Linked DNA regions of Caenorhabditis elegans. The protein of the gene in region 1 interacts with the protein of each later gene in a pairwise test. Each region holds a gene or a part of one and is shown in the gene's direction. Other genes may lie near its edges. The genes, in order: rab-11.1, rei-1 and lec-5.

Region 1 (3,856 bases):
TTGGCGTATCCGCGCTTGTAGAGGAGATCGTGGATGGTCTTGTTGTTTGGATAACCCCAAGCTACGTATGGCTCGATGATACGGAGAAGTGGAAGAGTAGCCTTGTTCAGCTTGACGAACACTCCGTTGTTGATCTGACGAAGACGGAGGATCTGGAGAGCCTGAAAACAAAGAATGGTTATTAAAAAACTCATTAACACAATTTCACCTTTCTTGGCTTTGGATGAAGCTGGTTGATACCGCGAATTCTGACGACGAAGGCGACCTTGTGCTCAGCTGGAACGTAGAAGTCTCCCTTGGCCTCAGCCTCGCGCTTGAGTCTGAGTCCTTCCTTTTGGGCGTTTCTGTACTCCTGGACGTATTTCTCAGCACGCTTGAAGTATTGGGTCTTCTTCTCCTTGTTCTTCTGTAAAAAATTTTATTTTTAATGCAGGATTAGTTCAAATTAATTTTCAAACACCTAAAAGAAAATTTAAACTTTAAAATTTCGAATTGTCATCGTGTTATTGAGACGCATTCTGAATTGAATACACCTCACCCAAAAACAAGATAATTCTTATAGCTCAGTTTTGACGGCTGGCTTGGATAATAGTGGATCCTAAAACCAGTGCTTTTGAAGAGCATTTTCTGTTTTCTGACAGTTAAATAAACTTACAGCGGCGACGGTCACCTTGTGTTGAGCAGCCTTGGTGCGGGCATCGGCTCTCTGCTTTCTGCGCTTGAGCACAGTTTCTGGAACCTGTGGCACTTTCTTTCTGAAAAACCAAGAATTAATATCAAAATTGAAGTATTTGAAAGTCAGGCCTAAAAGTAAATTTCAATCTAATATAAATTTATAAAGAAAACTTACGTTGGAGCCATTATAGGCGATTGATTACCTGGAAAATCAAAATATTAATCAGAAAAGAAAATTATAAGATATTGAAACAGAGGAGCAAGTTTTCAAAACTAAATTATTTCAGTATTTTTCGAATGTTCAGCATTTTCTTCACGAAAACTATAAAAAACGCGTATCAGAATTACGGGAAATTAGTTCTAAAATTTATTCTGATGAAAATTTAAGAAAATCAATGAAAAATGCTCTGAAAAAACGGAAAAATTCGTTAGGCCAAAAAGAAAAAAATGTAAAATTGAGATTCCGTTGCGCCGCTGCGAAAGGGGTACGGTAGTTGTCGTGCCGAGACCCGAGGAGGCTTGCGCTGCGGCTAGCGTCGCGTACCCTCAGACCGACGTGGCTGCGCCGGTGCGCCTGACCTGTTTTACGTTCGATTTTATGGGTTTCACACGCATTTCGCGTTCGGAAAAGCTTATTCTGGATGTTCACAGCCATAAAACTAATTATTTTTTTCAATTTTTAGCTGAAATTATCAAAAAAGAACACCCAGAGAAAGCTTTCCCTTGTTAAAAATATCCTGTTCAACTATTTCGAAATCGTGTCGACAAACAAAGTTCGGCCGCTCACCTTCCCTTTTTCGGGTATGATAAGCCTCAAATACTCTTTCATAACACACTTCTATATACATTTTCACATTTTTCTTCTGACTAACCACCCTCATATATTGATAAAATTCAATATAAAACTCCCAACTCCATATACTTTGAATCATTCTTAAATCAAGTTCACTTATATTTTTTCAATCCCCGTCGAGATAGACAACCGGTTCCTGACTCCGCGTTTGTGTCGGGAACAGAACATAAAAATATTCTCCGCCGATAAAACAGTGTCTCGTTCTTTTAATATCGATTTTACAACAAAACATTGCGCCCGGCTGATGAATCATGTGACCAATGCCCTTTTTCTTTTTTACAATCGTCCCAATATATACACAACTTTCAAACAAGCTTTATCATTTTACAGCTCAGCAGTAAAGATGGGCTCTCGTGACGATGAATACGACTACTTGTTCAAGGGTAATTTTGTTTTTCATTTTTCAATTCCCAAACGAAAAATTGTTTCAGTTGTTCTGATTGGAGACTCAGGCGTCGGAAAGTCGAATCTCCTGTCTCGTTTCACAAGAAATGAGTTCAACTTGGAATCAAAATCAACAATCGGAGTCGAGTTTGCCACGAGAAGCATCTCGGTGAGGAACTTCATTAGAATACACTTATGATTCAAATTATTATTTTTGTAGGTAGAAGGCAAGACAGTGAAGGCTCAAATTTGGGATACTGCTGGACAGGAACGTTACCGTGCCATCACATCCGCTTACTATCGTGGGGCTGTCGGAGCTCTCCTAGTCTACGACATCGCTAAGCATGTGACGTACGAGAATGTTGAGCGATGGTTGAAGGAGCTTCGTGATCACGCCGATCAGAACATTGTGATTATGTTGGTCGGAAACAAGAGCGACTTGCGCCATTTGCGTGCAGTTCCAACAGACGAGGCCAAGATCTACGCCGAAAGAAATCAATTGTCGTTTATTGGTAAGTTAAACTAATCTATTGCGTTTATATATTTTTTTTTTTCAGAAACATCTGCCCTCGACAGCACCAACGTTGAAGCAGCTTTCACTAATATCCTGACGGAAATCTACAAATCAGTATCCAACAAGCATGTAGGAACTGACAGACAAGGATATGGCGGTGGCAGTGGTACAATCATTCCTTCGCCAGCGTCCGACCCACCAAAGAAGCAGTGTTGCATCCCATAAATCACATCGTGTTTTTTTTTTTCAGTCTAACGTGTGTATTTTTCGAAATGCCTTGTCCATTTAATTTACTGCCCCCGAAATCCAAATGATTCGCTCTTAACATCCGCGAGTTTTATCGAATTCTTGCAAGCACTGCGTTTGCAAGTCTTCACCGTTTTGGTGTGTAGTATTTGTAACTTTCTTTCAGATTTATTTGTAATTGCCTCCATCCCCACCCCTTCCCCCTCCCCCCCCTCCGAACCTATACATTCGTCCCTTTTTCTTCAGAAGATTGTGATCTGAGTTGAGTGGTGCTGCTTTCTTACCATTTATCCGACTCAAGATTGTATGCCAACTTCAGCGACGTATTTTGAATATTTTTTCTTCACCCTTATTCAATATTATTCTGGCCCACCCCCACCCAATGTGTATATTACCTAAACTATTTTGGTTATTCGTAATGTGTGTCTCTTGTAGAACTCGATACCGAGAAACCCTCGCCAAGAAAGCAACGAAGACATATGCACATTGTTTTTAATCGAGTTTTATTTATTTCGCAATTTTTTTCCAAATAGTCATTTTCCATGAATAAATAAATATATCTAATTGATCTCCTATTTTGTGAAACATTTTCACTAAACGCTTGTACCAAATCACGTCCAGTTTTTTTATTTTGAATTCAAAATGAAAATCCGCATTTTCGCGCCGAGACCACTACAGTAACCTAAGGCCTAAAAATGTGCATTTTTGCGTGTTATTCTATGCATTGTCCGTACAGCGTTTCCATTTGAATTTTTTGAAGTTTTCCGATAAAAAAAAAGAAAAACTCCAAAAAAAAATTTCCCATTGAAAAATGTCGAAAAAAGAGACGCAGAGAAAGCGCTGCAAGACCCCACATCTGTGTGTTTGTCCTTCCTCAATCCTCCGGCTCTCTCGTCGCCTCGCCGTCTCTTTCAAATTCTCCATCTCTCCTCCCGTCTCTCTTAGTTGTTCTGGTGTATGCTTGCGTGCGTGCGTTGCGGACTACAAATCAGGACTTTTTCAAATTTATTTTAATGCTTGTTTAATTTTTAATTTTCCACCCCGTTAATTATTCTTATTTTCAATTATTAAATTGCAGAAAAATGTCCGAGAATCCTGAAAATTCGGGAGAATTGGCAGAAAATCAGGAAGAAGTTGATCAAGAGCTTGTGCAAAATCCAACAGAGCCCCAGCAAAATCCAGAG
Region 2 (3,782 bases), on another chromosome or scaffold:
AGAGAGAGAGAGAAAGATAGAAAAGAGAAAATAGATCAGTATCTGTCTATTTCTCTAATTTTCTCACTTATTCTTCATCGGAAGAAGAAGAAGATGAAAAAGACAACGTCATCCACAACCTGTCGTCCCCCACACACCCCTACGACCACAAAAACTGTCCCCGTTTTTTCGACACCTCCCTGATGTTTTTCCCGCAAATCCTATTAAAGCTCACGCGCCTAGACTTCTTCAGATAGCACTCATAAAAGCTATTATTCGCTATTTGTCAAGTAAAATTGCCACATTGGCTCCTGTCACGAATGAAAATTTTCCGCTACCGTACCCTTTATTTTTTGTTGTAATTTTCAATTCTTTTGATATTCTTGATGTAAAAATTATATTTTTTATCGAAATCCCGTCAAATATGCTTGGAAAAAACGAAATTTCAAGAAAATCATCATCTACCGTACTCATGGGTACTGTAGCTGAAAAGTTTCACTCGCGTCGAGACCCGGAAGCATCATTTTGCTTTGAAATTTGCGCGTTTTTCCGATTTTCGATTCAATTATTAGATGAATTGAAAACTATCAGCGAAATCGTTTTATCATTTGACAAAACCTGAAAATTTTCTAAAAATGTTTTTTGTCAGACTGAAGAAAAATTATTTTTAGATTAAAGGATTAAAGGATTAAAGGACGATCGGTTCTTCAAGTGCTATGCACTGCGGATCTGGGATTCAGGTACACTGCCTGGTGGTGATCCTCTGGGCTGTAATTTTAAGCCACGTCCTAGCCGGGGACTGTGGCCGATAATCCAGTCGTGGATTGCTCCACTTCCCAATAGACATTCTCTTATTTTAAAAATAGAAATGTTGCAATTAATCGGAATTTTGCAGTTGAGGGGTATCGCCCCAAAAAAATTTTAAAAAAATATGTTTCAAAAAAGTACTTCTTGAGGACTGAGGCGACTCAACTCTTCCCCCACCTTCCACCAATTTTGCTCATATAACAGTCCACAATTGTGTGCCCCTCAATATATTTCCCCTTCGGTATAATTGGCCCATTTGCCCTCCACAATCTATTCACACTGTCCATCCCGACCGTCCGTCTCTGTTTCTCTCTTCTCCGTCGTCCCCCACACTTTTCCTACCCCCGCTTGTCGTTTGCACGGCCTTCAAACCCAAAAAACCGATGAAAACCGTATCTGAAATAGTTCTACTCTCCGTTTCCTCGTTTTCTTTGTTCTAGAATGGTTTCAAGTTCGAAATTCTCAAAAAATTATGAGGTTCGAATATTACCCAGACGCAAAATTTTGAGATTTTTGCCCTGAAAATACGGTACCTGGCCGCGAAAAGGCAATTTCTGAGATTTACAAACGGGGGTGCGCCTTTAAAGGATACTGTAATTTAAAGCTTTCGTTGCTCTCTGATCAGATTTTAATTGATTTTTCATAGTTGATCTCACAATTTATTAAATCGAATAATTTTGAATTTTATTATCTTAATTATTAATAAAGTAATATTATTTAATAAGTAAATTTATTTTCAACCAAAAACTATGAAAAATCAATGAATACTGAAATTACAGTACTCTTTAAAGGCGCACACCCATTTGTTTTCAACAAAAATGTCATGTCGAGGGCCATTTTTGCAGCTGATTTTTGCTATTAACCCTGAACAACTAAAATTGAGAAAATTGTCCAAATTTCATTCATTTTAGCCATTTTTGTAAGTCGAATTGATAATTTCTGAAAAACTCCCGCCATTAATTTCAAATTACGATCTGCAAACACCATCACGTAAAAATGCACAGTTTTGCCTCACGTTAAAATTTGCAAATTTAATTTTAAAAAATTTATTTTCTCATCTTTTCTCCTCATATTCTCTTCATTTCTAGTAATTTTCGTTCGAACAATTCGATTTCAGAATCAATAAAACATTAAAAATGACGGAAGGGGACGATCAATTAATATCGATTCGCAAACAACTTGAAAATTTAAATAATGCAACAGATGACATCAACAGTTATGAGATGAAGTTGGAAACTGTCAAGAAACAGTTTTGGTGAGTTTTAATTCATTTTTTATTTTAAAATAATTGCTTAATCGCTACACGTCTAAAACTGGAAACCTTTTATTGCACTAGTCATTCTTAACCAATTAATTCGCAAAAAATCGTACCAAATCTGGTTTTGATGCTAAAATAATCTTATATATTTTCAGTGAAACCCAACTAATGTTCAACAAAGAAATGCTTGGAATCCCTAAAAAGTTGGCCAAACACATATCAAAATCCCGTCAATTTTTCGATTTGAAAAGCCGCGAATCGGAAATCAGAAGATGTGTTCAACAAGCGGCAGCTCAATTTGAACGACAAAAAACTTCAGTTGAAATGGCAAGAGAACAAGTGCAAATACTGCATAATTCATTGAATAACAATCAAGAATTGGATGCAGAGAAACAATATGTTGATGTGATTGAGCAACAGTTGGAATTGGTTAAAGAAGCTGAGGGAGAATGTTTAAAAGCTGAAAAGTGTCATGCATCACGTGTCAGGGATTTGTTACAGTTGGAAATGGCTTTAAGGAAATGTTTAGAGGAAAATGGGTGAGTTTCAGGCATCAGGCAATTTTCTGACAATATATTTTCCGAATTTCAGATCTGCCATCAAAAAATCCCGGCCCTATTACGAACGAAAAGAAGTTCTGACGCGAACAATGAATTCTCAACTTGAGTTAATGTCAATTTTGGAGCATGAAGTAAGAACTAATAAGAATAAAACTGTATATAGATTAAAATAATTTTTAATTTCCAGGTACAAGAACGAAAAGACAGCTACAGTGATTCGATGCGAGCTTTAGAGCAGATCAGCGATCAAATTCATCAGGAGCGTTCCTCGCAAAGCAGTTTGGCTCCTTCGAGTGATGCAGAATCCGACAGCTCTTGATACTCTGAGCCACACCCTTTCTTCTCAATTTTCCACGTGTAATATTAGATTTTTCACGAAGTTTCGAAATCTCGATCTCACTTGTACTCACGTTCCACACCCAATCAACTTCACCAAAAATGTATTTTTACGGGTTTCAATCCCCTTTCTCTTTGCTCCTCATTTTCTCTATGTATCTCTTTATTTTGTGTTCGTCTGGTGCTTAATAACAATTTTCTTGAAACATTAAAAATTGTGATAATGAGAAGACGATGAAGTGCCCACAAAAGCATCTACGTGTGCACACGCTGCACTTCTTGTCGGAGCACTGGATTTATCAAGCAATCGTGAAGCCAATGTGCATAGCTCACAAAGAGTGGATGCCCTTGTCGCTGGTGGCAATCTGAGGGTGAAATAGATTGTTGAAAAATTGTAATTTTTTGAAATTTTGAGACGTTAAAAAAAATCGAAATTTCGTTGACTTGCAACTTGCGCGTCATATATAGTGTCAAGTACGCATACACCGCGACGGTAGAATGCACAAAATTGTCAATTTCAAAATTTTCATGATTTTTCTTTTATTTAACAATTCAATTTCTCACCTGCTAACCGAAGCGGGTCTTCTTTCTTCTGGAATAATTGGAATTTCTTCATCAGAATCCCATTTAAAATACTGAAAATTGTTCACACGCCGGCCAAGCTTTGGAATGCTCTAAAAATATTTGTGTCATATTATTGTTTCACTTAATTGAAGAGATTACAGGCATTTCTATATCATTCCGATTATTGCTCAATTCCCTAATAACCAACAATTCATGAGTTTCTCTACGAATTTCTTCATCTCTCTTCCTCTGTTCCTTCGCTTTTTCCTCTTCTTCAA
Region 3 (3,898 bases), on another chromosome or scaffold:
CAAAACACTACGGGTAGTTGTCTGAACCTTAAAATGTATATTCCTGATTTAAAGAAAGATATACATAATCTTCGATTTCTCCAACTTCTTTTATAATTATTGCTGCTTTTTCTTCACATGGATAATTTTCAAAGCCAGGGAATAATACTTCATCTACATTTTCAATTGTTCTATTATCCTGAGCGCTGATGAAAAACGACGAAAGGCGAGGTTTGCTGGGTTTGCATCTGCAAATCGAATTAGCTAAATTTTAGGTGCATTTGAAAATTCACAATTTTCGTTTTTTTCACAACATGAAAATATTATTTTCTCTATGAAAGCTCACTCCGATTTAAGTTGCTCAATGTTAAGTTGCTTCAGAGCTTCTGCTATTGCGAAGGCATCTTCCCCTTTCTGATGAAAAAAAATTAGCTTGCCCATTCAAAACACTTTAAAACTTACAAACTTATCAAATTTTGGATGCTTTTTTCTATATTTTGCTACCATCCCAGCTTTCAGCTTGCTCAGATCTTCCATGAAATATCTTTCAACTTTCCATGGACACACATGGGCATAGAAATCAACACACGGATCCACAGAGAAGTCAGCATGTCTGAAATTTGTTTTTAACTCAATAAAACTTTTAGATGTAATTCTCTATTACTTTTTAATATGCTCTTGAATGATATTCTTCGGTAGAGAGGCTTTTGATGTGCAAAAAAGAATAAAAACAGAAAATATGAAAAAGGGAAGAAGGGCCTTCATTTTAGGTGTCGAAACAAAAAATATGTGATGCACGGATACTTTTATAGTCGAAAATTCCCGCCTACAATAGCACAGTGAGGTGGCCGATTTCCCATATTGTTTGGAAAATTTCGAATAATTTGCATAACGTTTGTTTTATTGTCACTGAACATTTAAGGAAGCGAAAGAAGCTGAAGACAAATTCCAAAAATGAAAAGCAATAGTTTATTCAAACAAAACAAATTAAGGAATCAGAAACTCTCGAAAGGAAGCAAACCTTGTGCAAATGACAATGAGGAATCCACTCCGAAATAATGATTTTCCCATGTTGTACCTCGGAAATTTCGTTTTCAAACCATAATAAATCTCCGATTTGCCATTCATAGTTTCCAATACTTAAAAGCCATTTAAAAGTTCGATTTCAGACTAGTTTAGAAGTGAACAAAGGTTGGGCAAACTCTGAAAATATTTGGAAAATATAAAGCCTTATTCTCCCATTTCTTTGGATTTTTTTTGAACAGCAGGAACAGAAGGACCACCTGGAACGCGAACAGAGTGAAAACACTTTTACTGTATAGATGTTTGGTATTTTTGGTGAGATCTTCATAATGCTTCAAATAATGAACACATCACATTAAGGTTCTTCGACATTAGTACAATGTTTCAACATCCTCCAAGCTGTCCATGCGAACATCGTAAATCCATCAAACACCCCATGTGATGCTGCTCCCTTGGATACCTCTACACAATAAATATATTTTTCATTTTGAACTTTGAAATTTGTTGAGACTCTCATCTGCTTACTCATCCAGGAGACCAAAGTGTTTTTCACTATTTTAGTGTCCGTTTTCTGATCAAAGCTCAAACCTTCGCCCCCTCTGATATCTTCTCCGCATGGCCTCTGGTCGGAGCCTGAACATTCCAATGGAAAACAAGGAAAATGTGTTGGTGTAATATAATGAATCAATTGAAGAAAGGGGTGGAGATTCCCGAATCATCAACACATTTATCTTGCCAATTGTCCATGGCTCAAGAGTTTGAAGCAGCTTCTTCGAAAGTTTGCCATTTAGCTTCTATAGTGTCACGTAACATTCTCGCATGATTTTGAAGATGTTCTCTTTTAAAATTGTATTAAAAATCTTTCAATTTTATACTTGCAGAATGATAACAAGAACGATTGTCTGCTTATCTTTGGCAGCCTTGGTTTCATGCCAAGGAGATGCTTCTGATCCAAAGGAGACAAACTATAAGAAGTTCATCGGAGAACAAGAATACGTTAGTTATCTAGACACTGGCTAGAATCTGAAAATTATTGTTTCAAATTTTTAGAAGCTCCCATTCAAGACCCGTGTCAGTGAGCCACTTGCAGTTGGACAAACTATTCACGCCGTTGGAACTCTTTCTGAGAAGCCAACTCGTGTGGATTTTAACTTCCACAAAGGATCAGCTAAAGATGCTGATCTTCCACTTCATTTCTCTATTCGTTTTAATGAGGGTAAGTGTTTTAATGAGTAATTTCAAGATCCGGTATAGTATCGCAAAAAATTTGTACGACAGTACCCAAACTTGCAAGATCATGAATAAAGATAATGATAACCAATACTTACGCTTAAAAAGTAGCAATTCAAAAACAATTTCTATCATTAAAGAAACTGATGTCATAGTTGAATGTTTTCGTTTCCAGAACAACCGATCCATAAATTAAATTTAAAAAAATACTATAATATTTGAATTTCAAACAATAAATTTCAGGACTTCTCGGCAGCGGAAAGTTGATCTACAACACATTCGAAAACGGAAACTGGTCTGAAGATGAGCAGAGAATTAGCAATCCATTCAAAGCCGGACAAGAATTTGATTTGCGTGTTCGTATTCTTGAAGGAAAGTTCCAGGTCTTTGCTAACCGTCTTGAGGTTGGAGTCTTCACTCAACGACTTCCACTTGATGGAGTAAGTTTGATTTTAAAATTGTTTATCAAACAACTTCGAATTTAAGATTGATCACGTCTCAATCCGTGGAGATCTATCAAAACTTCGTCTTTTCCACTATGGAGGAAGAATCTTCCCTAACCCATATATGGCAGTTGCTGGTCTTACCCCAGGAAAGAGACTGGATATTTCTGCTCTTCCAAAAGGTACAAAAAATAAAATGTCCGTTTATTCACATGGAAAACTTTCAGGAAAGCGTGTCAATGTCAACTTGTACCGTGAAAACAAAGAGTATGCACTTCAAGTTTCCATCAGATACAATGAGGGAGCTGTTGTCAGAAACGCAATGACTAGCAATGTTTGGGGAAAAGAAGAGAGAGAAGGAAAAATGCCACTTGATAAGAAGCAAGTGTTCGATATCACCATCATCAACGAAGAGTACTCTTTCCAGATCTTCCTTAACAATGAAAGGTTTCAAATTCCTTAATTTTACTGATTTTAATCAATATTTTTGCAGATTCACCACATTCTCCCACCGTGGATCGCCAAGCGATATCAAGACTCTTGAAATTGATGGAGACGTTGAAATCCAGACTGTCACCATTAATGATGCTCCAGGAGTTTAAATTTTTGTTTTCTGAATATATTTTAAGTTTTTATATACTGTCCAGATCTAAATAAACATTCTAAGTTTCCTTATCCGTAGCAATGTTTTGTTGGCAGACTACAATAGCTCGATTTTCATGGAAAATGTTGCAGACTCTGTTTAGAATTAAAATTTCCTATTCAGAATTCGATGTATTCAACTTCAAATTGTCCGAATATAAAGGAATACTGCAAAACTTTTAAATACCAAACATTTTTAATCCAACTTTGAGGTTTTCCAAAAACATGCACTTTTGCGTCATGGTGTTTGCGTACACTCGATTTACGAAATGCATTTTACTTGACGCGCAGCATTTTTGTTTGTTGTTTTTTGCAAATTCCTCTTGCAATTAATTTTCTCGTCATGGGAGTAGACGATTTGCTTATTAAAAATGCTCAAAAAACTATTGATCGATTGATCCGGCAGTTAGCAGAAATAGAACAAGAAGAGTGAGTGAATTTTTTGTTTGTTTTTTACTTTCAAATGTTTCTTTGTTCAGGAATAATCTCGAAGAAGACGAATACAGGGAATTGCGTGAAGACACTGTAAATCAACTTCAGGAATATGGAAAAATAGTCGAACGCCTGCAAGGCGGAGATGT

What was found.
Region 2: the proteins of rab-11.1 (region 1) and rei-1 interact in a two-hybrid assay, tested with the Caenorhabditis elegans proteins (one study listed by BioGRID).
Region 3: the proteins of rab-11.1 (region 1) and lec-5 interact in a two-hybrid assay, tested with the Caenorhabditis elegans proteins (one study listed by BioGRID).

What each region holds. Positions count from the first base shown.
Region 1 is NC_003279.8:108,060-111,915, reverse strand, and holds rab-11.1 (Ras-related protein rab-11.1), read left to right. Parts: upstream 1-1,858; 5' UTR 1,859-1,871; coding exon 1,872-1,911; intron 1,912-1,959; coding exon 1,960-2,081; intron 2,082-2,132; coding exon 2,133-2,424; intron 2,425-2,469; coding exon 2,470-2,651; 3' UTR 2,652-3,242; downstream 3,243-3,856. Other genes in the region: rpl-7 (Large ribosomal subunit protein uL30), read right to left, coding at 1-161, 209-406, 656-755, 851-861; Y48G1C.8 (DUF7747 domain-containing protein), read left to right, coding at 3,755-3,856. UniProt on the Caenorhabditis elegans protein: The small GTPases Rab are key regulators of intracellular membrane trafficking, from the formation of transport vesicles to their fusion with membranes.
Region 2 is NC_003281.10:4,096,269-4,100,050, reverse strand, and holds rei-1 (Guanine nucleotide exchange factor rei-1), read left to right. Parts: upstream 1-1,860; 5' UTR 1,861-1,922; coding exon 1,923-2,041; intron 2,042-2,199; coding exon 2,200-2,583; intron 2,584-2,635; coding exon 2,636-2,735; intron 2,736-2,791; coding exon 2,792-2,923; 3' UTR 2,924-3,148; downstream 3,149-3,782. Other genes in the region: C03C10.7 (uncharacterized protein), read right to left, coding at 3,149-3,305, 3,505-3,614, 3,664-3,782. UniProt on the Caenorhabditis elegans protein: Guanine nucleotide exchange factor for Rab GTPase Rab-11.1. Spatially and temporally regulates the distribution of Rab-11.1 to target membranes during embryogenesis. Plays a role in cytokinesis, probably by targeting rab-11.1 to the cleavage furrows.
Region 3 is NC_003280.10:5,839,089-5,842,986, reverse strand, and holds lec-5 (Galectin), read left to right. Parts: upstream 1-1,883; 5' UTR 1,884-1,884; coding exon 1,885-1,998; intron 1,999-2,052; coding exon 2,053-2,218; intron 2,219-2,475; coding exon 2,476-2,672; intron 2,673-2,718; coding exon 2,719-2,857; intron 2,858-2,902; coding exon 2,903-3,122; intron 3,123-3,168; coding exon 3,169-3,277; 3' UTR 3,278-3,348; downstream 3,349-3,898. Other genes in the region: nep-25 (Peptidase M13 C-terminal domain-containing protein), read right to left, coding at 1-21, 65-227, 326-393, 442-592, 644-744; ZK1248.19 (Beta-catenin-interacting ICAT domain-containing protein), read left to right, coding at 3,661-3,746, 3,797-3,898.